2 linked regions of the Alligator mississippiensis genome follow. The protein of the gene in region 2 interacts with the protein of the main gene of each other region in a biochemical or structural test. Links are inferred from orthologs where the notes say so. Each region holds a gene or a part of one and is shown on either strand. Other genes may lie near its edges.

The links.
Region 1: the proteins of TNRC6A (region 2) and AGO2 form a complex in vitro, tested with the Homo sapiens proteins (2 studies listed by BioGRID). The link is inferred for Alligator mississippiensis from reciprocal best matches to the Homo sapiens genes TNRC6A and AGO2.

The regions. Positions count from the first base shown.
Region 1 is NC_081826.1:7,731,152-7,738,483, reverse strand, and holds the start of AGO2 (protein argonaute-2), read right to left. Parts: upstream 3,017-7,332; 5' UTR 2,920-3,016; coding exon 2,883-2,919; intron 1-2,882.
Region 2 is NC_081836.1:58,591,902-58,598,755, reverse strand, and holds the start of TNRC6A (trinucleotide repeat-containing gene 6A protein), read right to left. Parts: upstream 3,010-6,854; 5' UTR 2,863-3,009; coding exon 2,858-2,862; intron 2,737-2,857; coding exon 2,689-2,736; intron 1-2,688.

The DNA of each region.
Region 1 (7,332 bases), on a different chromosome or scaffold from region 2:
AAGGTCCCTTGTCACTGCAATCTTATCTAGCACCCAGTCATAGATTTTTCTGTGCAGGGAATTCTCACTGTTATTCAAGAAGGCTGCACTAAAGCATACATGAATATAACAGCAAGTCTGGCATACACAGGTCAGCTGAGTTTGCGCTATAGCAACTACTTCATACTTCGAGCTGTCCCTAAGGCTATACAGACTGTTGAAAAAATATAGTACAGGTGTTGACAATATTAACACATACACTACAGGAAAAAACAAGTTCGCAATATAAACTTTAAACAGTGCTGTATATTACTATAGTAACAAATTTAAAACTATCATAACACAAACTGAGACACAGAATAGCCATTATATCTGTCACTTCCTCATTTACACCTGGCACTACTGAAGTTCTCAATGCAATTTGTTCTTTAGATAAAGCAATGCAAATTCTGCAATGGATATGAAAAGACAAGACAGTTGACACTATTTAGGGGCAAGCTCAACAATCCTGACACTCTCAGAAGAAATAGTTTAATTCCAGGTCAGGCAAATCTGTCTATTAGAATTAGAAGATGAGAACCAGCATCATCATCCCATGCTAGTCCATCCAGGTAAAAGCTTTGACTCTCAAGTCAAAGACACCCATTTTCTCCATTCTCAATCACTTCGAATTCTAAACAAAAAAGGCCATCGGGTATCCATCTCTGCACCGTGAGGGGCCATGGACTGCTCCGGTGCACTCCTCAGCCAGTAAGTGCTGTGGTTGACTAGATGTCTCTCATACTATACGAAAAACGGACACCAAGAGCTCTCCTTGAAATAAAATGAAGCCTTGTTCTGGGGCTGCGGAGGCATGGGCAACATGCTGTTTTCAACTCTAAATATTTCAAGCTTGTCAACATTATGCATGTTTATCACTCCGTGCAAAGAAAACAGACTGCAGAGATATTCCAATATTTTGCTGTCATTCTTACTCCAAAAGATATCATTTCTCTGATCCGCTGTGCAGGACCAGTGGATCAAAGCAGCACCTTCTGAAGTAATAGCTGCAGCAAACAGCTTGTCTTTCATTCCTTAATCTACTACTGAGTGCAAACCGCAAACTGAATGATCTGGATTCTACGCCTCATCTGAATTAGGATATAAAACCAGATTCTGACCAGTCACACCAACACACTAAAAAACTTGAACTGTTGAAGACATTTACATGAGTTGAAAAGCAAACATGAGAACCCCTAAGGTATATCACCAAGCTGCAAATAGATTAAAATAATAGCAGAAAAAAGCAACCCTTTTAGGCATTATTATAGCTCTGTTACTAGCAAATGAACGGTAATAACTTAGTTTTTTATACTCCTAGAAACACAGTGACTCATAAGAGAGAACTTGGTAAAACTGATTTTTTCATATTTGGAAGTAATAAAAGCATAAAGTTCATCCATTCTTTTTTCTTCTGCAAGCAAAGCCTGTTATAAAAATCAGACTCTTCTCTTCAAACAGCGCATCACCAACAGGGAACAAGAGGCTCAGGTGAAAAGTAGAAAGCAAGAGGAAAAACAACCCATACATTGTGTAAGTTTTACAATTTGTTTTTAAGGGCTTTTTAGGAGGTATCAGGGCACCCTAAAAAGAGTAAAACTATCACTAAATTCAGGCATTAAACTAGCTACATGTTTTATTATTAATTAATCTAAAAGTATTCAGCGTTTTATTTAAAACTGCACTATAGTCCAATGGCTTCAGTCAGCAGATGTCTACAAATGTTTTATCTTTTTTGTGTCAAGGTAAATTTGTAAACCAGTATAGATAAAAACCATAGCCCACATACAATACTGGTGCAAGAAAAATGAGTACGAGATGACAAAGTAGTTTCAGACTTTGCCAAATAACTGTACTCTTATAAAGTTAAGAGCACATCACTGTGAAAAGACGACAGAAATTAAAGTCCCTCTTCACAACAAGCTTTTCCTTCTTTTTTTTTCCCCCCCAGAAGAGATTAGGAAAACATTGAGATGAACATTAAGACTGACTGACGCCTCTTGTTCACACTTCCTTAATTAAAGATTCTCTCTCTCTCAACCCAAGACTAAATTTTCACGTTTAGTATCAACCAAAACGTAGTCTCTCGTGAAATCAATGTATTTTTACGTTGCTCCGAGAAACCCAGACAACCCCGGTGAAGCGAGAGAGATGAACATGGCAGAAGGATAACGCCACGCCAATCTGAGCGGCACGGCCCGAGAGGCCAGACGAGCGACGGGGTTTGAGAAGTCAGGTAACGACACGGACGTCGATACGGCGGCTGCAACGTCTCACAGGTCGGACTGCGGCGAGCACACACTAACCAAGATGTGGCGACGCTGGCGTCCAGCATCGGGGTGGCACTGCCCGGCTCGCCGCCAGCCCAGCTCACAGGCATTTTTTCTTTTTTTTAATACGAGGCGTAGGAGCCGTGTCCCCGCCGCAGCGCGGGCAGACGCGCAGCAGCAACCTCTGCCCCGAGGGGCGCGCGCCTTGGACCCTGCGCCCGGGAAGGGAGGGCAGGAGGGCCTTGCCCCAGGAGGGACGCCCTCGCCCCCCCATCCTCCCTGCGCCCACCCCCAGCAGCGCAGGAGCCGGTGAGGGCGGCAGGGGGCGAAGCCGCCTCCAGCTGCGGCAGCGGGGAGGAGCCGAGCACCCCCCCCGCCCGGCCCGGGACCCCGCTCCGCCCCCACGGAGCGCGGGGGACCCGCCGGCTCGGCCCACGCCTCCCCCTGCTCCGCCAGGCCCGCAGGGGCCTCCCTCAGGCGGCGGCGGCGGCCTGCCCTGCCCTGCCCTGCCCCCACCCCCCTGTCTCCCTCCCTCACGCGCGCGGCCATTGCGGAGGCCCCGCCAGGCCCGGGCGGGCGGGCGGGCGGACTCACCCGGCCCGGCGGCGGCGGCGGCGGCTCCCGGGTACATGTCTCCGTGCGCGGCGCGGCGGGGCGCGGCGCCTCACTCTGTCCGGGTCAGCGGAGCCGAGCCGAGCCGAGCCGGGAGCCGGGAGCCGGGCGGGTCGGCGGGGCCGCGGAGGGGGAGGAGCCGCCTGGTCACGTGGAGGCCGCGGAGGGGGCGGGGCCGACGAGGGGAGGAGCCGCCTGGTCACGTGGAGCCCCGCCCCGCCCCGCCGGCGGGAAACGGCCCCTCAGTCCGGCGCGCAGGGGGCGGGTGGGAGCCACGTGGAGGGCGGGCGCGGGGCCCCGCCTTGTCACTGGCGGGGGGAGCGGGAAGGGGGGCGGCCCCCCCGGGCTGGAGCTCGCTGCCGTGGAGCCGCACACGGGGCACGTCGCTCCTCGCGGCCCGGCCTCTCCCGCCTCCACTTCCCGTCTCCGCTGCCTCAGGTCGTGCTGGCTCAGGCGAGCAGCCGGCGCCGCCTCCTCCAGGGGGTGTGCTGGGCCTGCCTCTGCTCCTTAACCCCCTCGCGGGGGCCGCCGGATCTGCGTGCCCGGGCTTGCGACCGCGCTGCGCCCACGGCCACGGCCCCTCCGCCTCGCCCCGCGCGCACCCCGCTCTCCGGGGCAGGGGCAGGGGCAGGGGCGCGGCCCGGGGCGTCTCTGCGGTACGTGCGGAAACGTGAAGGTGGCCTCTCGGTTACAAACGAGCAAAGGACAAAAGACTGGAGTAGTGCTGGCCCGGGCTGCTGCAGCAACTTCACTGCCGCAACAACACGTATGAAATGTACGTACACAACGATGCGTTTTATATATATATATATTATACATGTACACACACAACAAATATATATATCTATAGATATAGATATATAACAAATATTACACGCACATATACACACACACACACACAGAGCAACAAATATAAAATATATACATACAACACCCAATATCATAGACTCATAGATGTAGGGTTGGAAGAGACTTTGTAGACCTAGGCTGACCCCTTCCCTGGGCAGGAGAGAGAACTGGGCTCAAATGGCCCCAGCCGGGTAAACATCAAGCTTCCTCCTAAAGCCCCCCAGGGTAGGAGCCAGCACCGCTTCCCTTGGCAGTTGGTTCCAGATCCTAGCCGCCCTGACAGTGAACTAGCGTCTTCGGATGTCTAATCTGAATCTACTCTCTAGCAACTTATGGCCGTTATTCCTTGTTACTCTGGGAGGTGCTCAGGGGAACAAGGTCTCTCCAAAACCCCGCTGGTCCCCCCTGGTAAGTTTATAGATGGTCACCAGATCCCTCTCAGCCTTCTCTTGTGGAGGCTGAACAGGTTCAGGCCCCGTAGCCTCTCCTTGTAGGGCCTGCCCTGCTGCCCCCTGATCATGCGGGTGGCCTCCTCTGGACCCTCTCCATGCTGTCCACATCCCTCCTGAAGTGCGGCTCCCAGAACTGGACGCAGTACTCCAACTGGGACCTGACCAGTGTCGCGTAGAGGGGGAGGATCACCTCCTTGGACCTGCTCGAGATGCATCTGTGGATACACGACAAGGTACGGTTAGCCCTACTGACTGTTCTCGCATTGGCAGCCCATGTTCATCCTGGAATCAATAATGACTCCAAGATCTCTTCCTGCCACTGTGCTGGCAAGAAGGGAGTTCCCCAGCCTGTAGGTCTGCTGCTGGTTCCCACTGCCCAAGTGCAGCACCTTGCACTTGTCAGTATTGAGTCCCATCCTATTTTCATTTGCCCACCCCTGTAACCTGTCCAGGTCCTGCTGTAATCTGTCCTTCCCTTCTTCCCTTCTCACCCCAAATCTTGGTGTCGTCTGCGAATTTAAACAGGCTGCTCTTCACCCCCTCGTCCAAGTCACTAATAAAGATACTGAACAGTGCAGGCCCAAGGACGGAGCCCTGGGGGACCCCACTGCCTACTTCCCTCCAGGTCAAATATGACCCGTCCACCACCACTCTCAGAGTATGACCCCTCAGCCAATTTGCGACCCATCTGACTGTGTAGGCATCAATGCCACAGTCACCTAGCTGTTTAATGAGGATGGGATGGGAGAGTGTGTCAAAGGCCTTCCTGAAGTCCAGAAAGACTATGTCCACGGCGACACCTGCGTCCAATGATTTTGTGACCTGATCATAGAAGGCAACCAGGTTGGTCTGACAGAACCTGCCTCTAGTGAACCCATGCTGGTTCGCCTTGAACATCATCCCCACTGCTGGCCCATCACGGATGTGCTCCTGGATAATCTTCTCAAAAAGCTTCCCCAGGATTGAAGTAAGACTAACAGGCCTATAGTTGCCTGGGTCCTCCCTCTTCCTTTTTTTAAAGATGGGGACCACATTGGCCCTCTTCCAGTCATCCGGCACCTGGCCAGAGCACCACAAGTGCTCATAAAGCCGTGCCAGGGGCCCCGTGATAACCCCTGCCAATTCCCTCAGCACCCTGGGGTGGAGAGCATCTGGACCTGCTGATTTGAACACGTCCAGCCCCTCCAGAAGTTCCCTAACTTGGTCTTCCCTGACCCTAGGCCTGTCAGAGTCCCTCCTGAGTCCATCCTGAATCTCAGTAAGGGAGTCCCAGTCCCTGCACAAGAAAATAGAGGTGAAGAAATTGTTAAACAGGTCTGCTTTCTCCTCTGGTGCAACCACCAGATTGCCTAGTCCTGCAGCAGCCCCACATTACCCGGGGCCTTCTTCATTCTATGTATTTAAAAAAGGACTTTTCGTTGTCCTTGATCCTTGATGCTAGCCCTAGTTCCGTATTTGCCTTAGCTTTCTTAACAGCCCCCCTACAGAACCAAGCGGTGGAGGTATACTCCTCTTTGGTGATAGCCCCTCCCTTCCACTGGGTGTACGCCTCCTTTTTGGCAATCAGGCATTCACAAATGCCCTTGGTGAGCCAGGGGGGCTTTTGGGCACTCTTGCGCCCCTTGCTTCTTGTTAGGATTGTCACCCCTTGGGCTCTGAGTATCATCTCCTTAAGGAACGACCACTCATCTTGGGCACCCAATTCCCCTACTCTCCAGGACCCTAGTGCCTCCCTCACTAATCTCCTTAGCTCATTGAAGTTGGCCCTCTTGAAGTCAAGGCTACTGCCTTACTGCAGGCCCTTGACATCCTGCGCTGGATGGTGAATTCCAGCAAGCGATGATTGCTATCGCCCAGGTGGTCGAGGACCTGGAGTCCCCTCACCAGGTCATTGCCTGTGGCCAGAACCAGATCCAGGAGGGCATTCCCCCTGGTGGGACTGTGTACCTCCTGGGTTAAGTGGAGGTCCTGTATCTTGGCCAGGAACCTCCGTGAGCAGTCAGACCTGGCTGACTGCTCCTCCCAGCAGATGTCCGTGTAATTTAGATCACCCATGATGACTACATCCCTTGCCTTAAGTGCCTCCGCAAGCTGGCCCGAGAATTCATGGTCCAGCTCTTCCCCTTGGTTGGGAGGTGCATAGTAGACCCCCACCATTAAGTCCCTTTCCTCACAACCCCCCTGTATTCTGACCCAGAGCACTTCAGCCTGCCCCTCCTCGGACCCCATCCTGCTGGTAGAGGATGTGTATTGCTCTTCGACGTAGAGCACCACACCCCCGCCTTTCCTCCCCATTCTATCCCACCTGTATAGCCTATAGACCCTAATGTTGACTGCCCAGTCATGGGATGAATCCCACCAGGTTTCTGTGAGCCCCGCTATGTCCAGGTTTGAACTAGCTATCTGGAGGGCAAGTTCCTCCTGCTTAAGGACAAGGAGGAACCTGTCCTTCCCTTCTTCCCTTCTCACCCCAAATCTTGGTGTCATCTCCTTCAGCTTAGCCCCCAGGGCCTCGAAGTCCTTCATGATGCAGTCTGGGTTGCCTCTGTCCGCGTCATTTGTTCCCACGTGGATGAGAACCATGGGGTACTGGTCTGACGGTCGAATGTAGGCTGGGGTCCTCTCTCTGATGTCCTGAATCTGAGCTCCAGGCATGAAGCAGACCTCTCATGCCACGGGGTTGGGTCGGCAGATGGGACCATCCACTCCCCTTAGGATGGAGTCCCCAATGACGAGGACCTGGCGTTTCCTTCTCCTGATGTTCCCTCTCTGCACCATCTGTGTTGTGCGTGGAGTGGCATCGTCCCCACTGGAGGCATCCCCTTCGTCCTTCTCCCTCATGGCTGCCAGGGCCTTGTATCAAAATACAAAGGACAATAGTAACTCCTGTGGCCAGGCCCCCAAAATGTGTTTAACTATGAAGACCTGTTACTATTTTTGCTTATTACGGTCACTACTAAATTTGTGTTTTTCTATAGCTGGAACAGATCAAATAACTTCAGGGCTCCAGAACGCTACAAGGCCAAACAAGAGAGGACCTCTGACATGGAGCTGAAGAGCCAGGTGGCAAGAGGAAGAGGGAGAGGAAATCTCATCGGTGTGTGTCTGCGAGCACATGCACACCCACACTA
Region 2 (6,854 bases):
ACAAAACACATATGGAGGCCTTAAAGGGAACGCTGCTTTGAAAGACCTGTATATTACCAGGTGCAAAAAGTTCTAGCACTAATAAATAAGGAACCATAAGTATATCTTATTTTAGAAGCTTTGTATACAAGTCTAAAGTACTGATAAGGAAATATTTTAAAGGGCGGTATAGGCAATCCAAAATGTAAGTGCTATTTAAATATACAAATTAACAATTCCTCATTATTTAAAACTGTTGGCTCTTTGTAATACCTCCTTGCAGGCTGTAATTTAATTCAGTTTCTCTATCACTGCTGTTTGGCAAGCACTGATCTTTCACATTTTTCCCCTGTAGAAGGTGCCAGCATGTGCGCCATATCACTAGCATTATCAAAACAAGGTGTCACGCTTCTGAGATATTATTTGTAACGTGGTACCACTTACAGTTTGCAATTAAGATGGGGGCCCATGTTTAACTGAATATTAGCATGTAGTATTTAGCTCCTTAAGATGGAACGTTCTGAAGAGGATGAAGATTGGAAATTAAGATCCTTATCGAGAACTTGAAGTTTCAAATCCCTGGGTTACAGTCATCAGGAATAAACTGCTGATAGTTACAAGTTACTTGGCAACAGGACAAGTGGCCTATTAGTATTAAAAAACTGACAACTATTAACAACAGAATGGCTATTACTGAAATGTTGAGACTTTGAGGGGGGCTGGAGTGGCATCTATGATTTCCTTCCTAATCCGCTCGTTCCGTTGTTCTTCATTCAAAAGCTTCATGCTCCTCTCCCAAGTGCTAGGACCCTGCTCCTCATCCCTCCTGGCTGCTGCCAGCGCCCTCAGAAGAGTGACACGCAGCAGCAGCAGCAGCAGCTTTCCTCCATCGCAGAATCTACTCTTGGCACCAGGACTGCTCCTCCTCCTCCTCTCCGCTCCATGCAGGTATTGTCCCCCCCCACCACCTTCTTGCTTTGTAAGCAGTTCCTGGCACAATCTTACAATTATAAGCTGCATTTTCTTTTCACTTCAAAAGAGATCTTGCTGAAAGTTTTGTGCAATGCCAAGGCAACTGAATTCAAACACTGCAGAGGATGTGGGCAACTACTTGAATTAAAACTTTCCAAAAAGTATTAGGACAATTCTCTTAATGCACTGGTGGACTTTCACATTTTGGTGACTAATTATATTTCAGTGCATCTTCAACCAACACTTTGCTCTTCCAGCCAAACCAGGCGTGTCAGCAAATATTTAACACCATATAGACTGGGTATTCTTTCCATAAAGGGAACGCTTATGTTTTAGTTTATTTACATTCTTTCTAGGCGTACTTTAATTTTGTATACAGACAAATGGTTTTTAAGCTGCGATTAAGAATTGTTCCCTTCAATTTGAAAATGACCCTAAAGTATTTTCTGAAGGATCCTATTACCTTTATTTTCAGGCTTCTATACAAACTGCACCTTAATTCAATTCTATTGTAACCCCACCCCAAATAAAATAGCATTTAACAGTTAAACAAAAGGCCAGCTCTTGAGTATGGTGCTACCAAAAAAAAAAAAGATATACTCAAGGGACAGGAAACTTCAATTTCCAGTGTTGTTATAAAGCTAACTTAAACTTCAAAATAGACTAGACCCCCAAAAAAACAGGACCTGAAAAATACGGTCCTAGCAGCTGCCCTTGAGTTTTTGCCAAGTTTTGAACCAGGCAGTCCTCCCCAACGCAACTCCCTTCATCGTAACTAGCCCTACAGAGGGCATGGAGGAAAACCAAAAGAAGGAAAAACTGAATATAGTGAAAGACAGTGCCAACGTGATAGCAGAGTTGCAGGTATCTGCAAAAACATCGTCCTACTAGGACACCTGGCACGTGCCTTTTCACAAGAGCAATATACACAACCCTGGTGTCGGCGTCTTAGCGTCACATGCTAAGTCATCAATATTGAAACTCCCGTGCCCTCGGCCTCCCAGCACATCTCCAGCACTGGTCACGGGCAGAATCGTGGCCTCGATGCCTGGATACAGAGGATGACGGGTTGCTTCACAGCAGAGAGCTCGTACGAAGCTCGTGGGAAAGGCTGGTTCATCGACGTTAAGGCGGGGTCGACTGGACAAGTTTGGGGGGAGCCGACCTGCAGCGCTGCGTCTTCCCAGGGGCTCCTCCTCGGAGCAGGAACCCCATGCCCCCCCCCCCTTCCCACCAATGATTTGCACACGCGCGTGTGCAGAGCGACTACACAGCCGACCGAGCCCGATCCGTCTAAACCCGGGATTTCTGCCTTCCCTTCTTTTAAACCTTTTTGCAACCGGTGACCTTGCGATTCCAGGCAGACATCGCAGCCGGTCTCCAGGAAAAAAAACCCCCAAAAAGAAACGGGCGACGGACTCGCGCGCGTGTGAATCCGTCTCCACCGACCGCGCGGTCGCTCGTTGCTCCGGCGCGGCGCGACATGACACCACCGCGCGGGAGCGACACACGGCCGCGGGGTCGGCGCCGCCGCACAGCTGCTCGACGACGCCGTCCCTTCGCACTCGGGTGCACGCGTGTCTGTTGCTTTGCACACACACACACGAATACTCCGTGACGGCGCGGTCGGCATCTTGTGTGGACACGCACGCACGCACACACAAATACACACGCACGCACACGCACTCACGCACACGCTCGCCCCCGGGCCCGGGAGCAGGGCGGTTTGTTTCTTACCTGCGTAGTTTTCTCCCCACGTCTTTGGTAGCTTTGGCTTCCAACTCTCTGCAACAGAAAGGCCGGGCGGTTGGTCGGTCGTTACGGCGGGCGGTCGTTACGGCGGTCGGTGTCGGGCCCCCGCCCGCCTGCCTGCCCGCCCCCCTCACCCCGCCGCGCCGCACCTCACCTCATGTAGGTAAAGTGCTCGGAGTCCGGCCCGGGCCCGGCGCTGGCCGCGGCTCCTAGGCGGCCTGGGCCCGGCACGGCGGAGCGGGAGGCCCCGGCAGCTGCTGCTGCAGCGACGCCGCCATTTCCTGCCTCCTCCTAACCTGGCCGGGTCCGGCCCGGCCGCCCCGGAAGAGAAACCCCCGCCCGGGCAGCACTTCCGGGGCGCCTCCCCCTCCCGCCAACATGGCGCCCTGACAACCGCCCTAGCAACCGCCACAGGCCCGCGGGGCAGCGGGACCCCCACAGCCAACATGGCGCCCTGGCAACCGCCCTAGCAACCGCCACAGAGCATGGTGGTCGGGGGCGCCTGGGCCCGAGGTTCACCATTGCACCCCAAAATAGGCGCACGATGCGTGGAGAATGAAAAGCGGCCTTCCCCCGTCATTCATCTGAGCACAGCGCGCCATGAAGCCCCGGGGGTGAAGGCTGCCGGGCACGGTGTCAGCGCTCTCATCCGGCAGCAACTGTTGTACGGGACCGGCCGCTGTTCTGCGGCTCCGTCGATACGAAACCCCACGCCTCGCTGTCCTCTGTTTGTGTCTGGGGCAGAAAAGTTGAGGATGTAAAGCTGCCGGGTTTCGTATCGGACAACGGGCCTGTCCTCGATGACGGCCGCCCAACGTTAGGCAACCATCATGGAGGACAGGCCGGTTTCCTGCTCCTCTCGTGATACGAAACCTGATGCCTTTACATCCCCTGTTTTTCCCTTGAAGACAAAAACAGAAGACATAACGGCGTCGGGTTTCATATCAACAGAGGACCGAGGACAACTGGGCTGTCCTCTGTGGTGGCCGCCCGACGGTAGGGTGGCCATCGTAGACGACAGTCCGGTTTTCTGCTCCTCTGTCCTCTCTTGCTACGAAACCCAATGTGTTTACGTCCTCTCTTCTTTTCAAGAGAGGAAGTAAAGGTGTCCGGTTTCGTATCAAGAGAGGACAACCAGACTCTCCTCCACGACGGCCAACCTAGCTGGCGTGGGCCCGCTGCCTTAGACCGACATGGCGGTAGGGCGGCCGTCAAAGACGACAGGCTGGTTTTCTGCTCCTCTGTCCTCTCTTGAGACAAAACCCGGCGCCATTTTGTCTTGAAGAGAAAAACAGAGGACCTAAAGGCATCGGGTTTCGTCTCAAGAGAGGACAAAGGACAACCGCGCTGTCCTCTACGATGGCCAACCTGGCTTGGGCACGTGCTGGGAGGAAAGGGGCATCGGTCGCTGCCGAGCGGGGAGCGAGGGGCAGGGGCTCCGCGTCAGAGGTTGCAAGGGGGAGAGGAGCAGGGGAAACCATGCTCAGACCGGGTCACTCTCCCCCCAGCCTTCGGTGCAACACGGGCTTCTTGGCATGCTCAGCGAACGCGGGCCTCGGCCCACCGTGAACGTCTAGAAGCCCCCTTAAAGAGGGAGGCCGCTGAGAACGCAACGACGGGTTGCTTAGGACGAATGAAAAAGAAACCAAGAACGGGAACGAGGGTTACGGGTTCAAAACCAGGGATGCGGAGGGGGACACAGAGCAGAGCGCGCCAGCCAGCGCCCACTCGGGGCGCCAACTCCCTTTGAATCTGTTCCAGGAGGTTTCCGTAACGCCGACGGACGTGCCCACGTGTTGGCATCTATCGGCCGTGGGCTACGGCGCGTAGACTTTGCGTCGGGAAGGCAAATGCACATTTCTACGACATTTTCAAAACCCACTGGACTATTGTATACGTCGGATGCAACATTTCATTTTTACTAATGAATTTAACATTTCATGTTTATTAATGAATGCCCTATTATTTATCTCCTGGGTGCCTCTCAGCCGTCTCCTGGGGATTTAGAGACTTCTTGGCAATCCTAGCACCTGCTGCCCCGCTGAACGAGTCGAGGGAGCCGGCGGTGACGTGGGCAGAGGACGGAGAGGACAACAGCACCATCCTCGCCCGGGCACTTCCCGGCCAGCCTCCTTCCTCATCTTGCAGATGACCAGCGTGGCCAGAGCCAGGAGGAGGTTGACCGAGAGATCCCGCGGCTTGGTGGGACCATGCATGGGGAGTACATAAAAGGAAAGGTGTGGGGGGAAACGCAGCCAGACTCTCAGCCGGAGCTGCGTGACACAGGTCTATCTGTTGCTTTACCACGGGACACTGCCCATTAAGAAACGCTATGAGCCTCCCTTGAAAAGGAAGGCCGCTATGAATTGCTTGGGACGATGAAAAACACACCAGGGACGGGAGCGGAGGTCAAAGGTGCACCAGGAGGGGACACCGACTGGGCACGATGCACCTCTGGTCTGACCCAGTAAATGGCCGTTCTTATGATCTTAATGACTTGACATAAAGGAAGCTAGGCCTGGGTTTTAAGGGGTATAATGGGATGAAGAGACCTTGCAAACAGTAGCGTCGAGACAGAGCTCGTCTGACAGCAAACCGGCCGTCCGGGGGGGTGCAGCCACAAAGCAGACTTGCAGTTCTCAAGGCAGCAGCCCACGAACTTGGTGAATCTTCTTGACAAGGTTCAGAAAGAAACCAAACCTCTACTATTGGTTTCAGTTCTGACAACACTTTACTAGAAAGGAAGCGCACAAAAACAGCTGGTGGTCTAAAGGCGCTAACTTTTGAGAGAAAAAAAAATATGAATAATGAAACGAATCAGTGTCCGCATGGGGGCACCTACCTCTAACCAAAGCATTCATTCAACACAAAAAAAGAGGATTTATTTAGTCTAAAGCAAGAAGCGTAACTAGGCTTCACAAGAGTAAACAAACAAATGAATAATTAAAGCCTTGGAAAGACCAGGGGATTTGTGTCTGTTTGGAACAACCTCTCTAGGATAAGACGCAGAAGTCCAAAACCGTAGGACTCTTAAATGTAGATCGTGCAAGCAGTAGAAAACATTACGCTGTAGGAAGCAAAAGGGCTTTAGCCGGGGATGGACCAGACATCCAAACGGACCGTTTCTGCCTCCAGTGGATATGGCTTTATTTTGAGGCATCAGATTAGCATCCAAGCCAGGTGTTGCACGCTACGGACTATACAAGAACTGTCTCCTAGAAACTTCCCCTCGTATTCATGATTTCTCTCTCACACCCCCCCCCCCACACCACCCCATTCCTCCCCACCCACTCACAGCTAGATACTACCCCTGCAGCAACTTCAGCAATTGCTTACATGGTCCGTTAGGATGAGGAGAGCAGTTAGTATAGTTTTAACTGTTGTGGAAGTGCAATTTATGAAGTTTTAAACGTGGAGGAATGTTAATACGGTGCCAGAGGCAGCACCAATCAGCTTATTACAGATCACACGTTTCAAACCACCAATCTAGGATATGCAAAGCAATGAGTGAAAAAGCAAGCGAATCAGGTCCAAAGTGAAGAATTTTCTTATTGGCATATGGGTATTCACATCAATTTTTCATTGGCCAAGTAAGGTATTCAGAGACTCTGATGATGGGGACCATATGTCTTACTAGGCAGGTAGGAATTACCCGTGACATATCCTGCAATGAACATGCTTCTCCATTTAAATTGGGTCCTACAATTCCTTGTTTTGGAAAAGCATCATTTGCTAAACACCGGGCCAAAAGAACCTTAAATAATCCACTGGAAAATATTATCCTAGGCAAACAATGACATCTTGCTGTGTTTGCAGCCCAAAATATTGGCACAGTGAGAATCTGAAAGTGGAAGTAAAGAACAAAACAAAGAAATAATGGCAAGAATTTGACATTATGATTTAACACGTATATTTTACTACTGTGGTGCCCAGAGGCCCCATGTGCAAACACCCCCAAGCAAACCCTCCCTTCCCCTACCAGATTATACTTGTGGGCTCAGAGCTACACGTTCGTTTGCACGAGAAGACTCCGCATGGATGGGCCTGTGCGGAGGAGCTCATACGCTGGATGCCCAAGGAAACAGGTGATACATGACTGCTGAGAGAAAGGGATGCAATCCAAGTATATACAGCTCAATTAAAATATCATT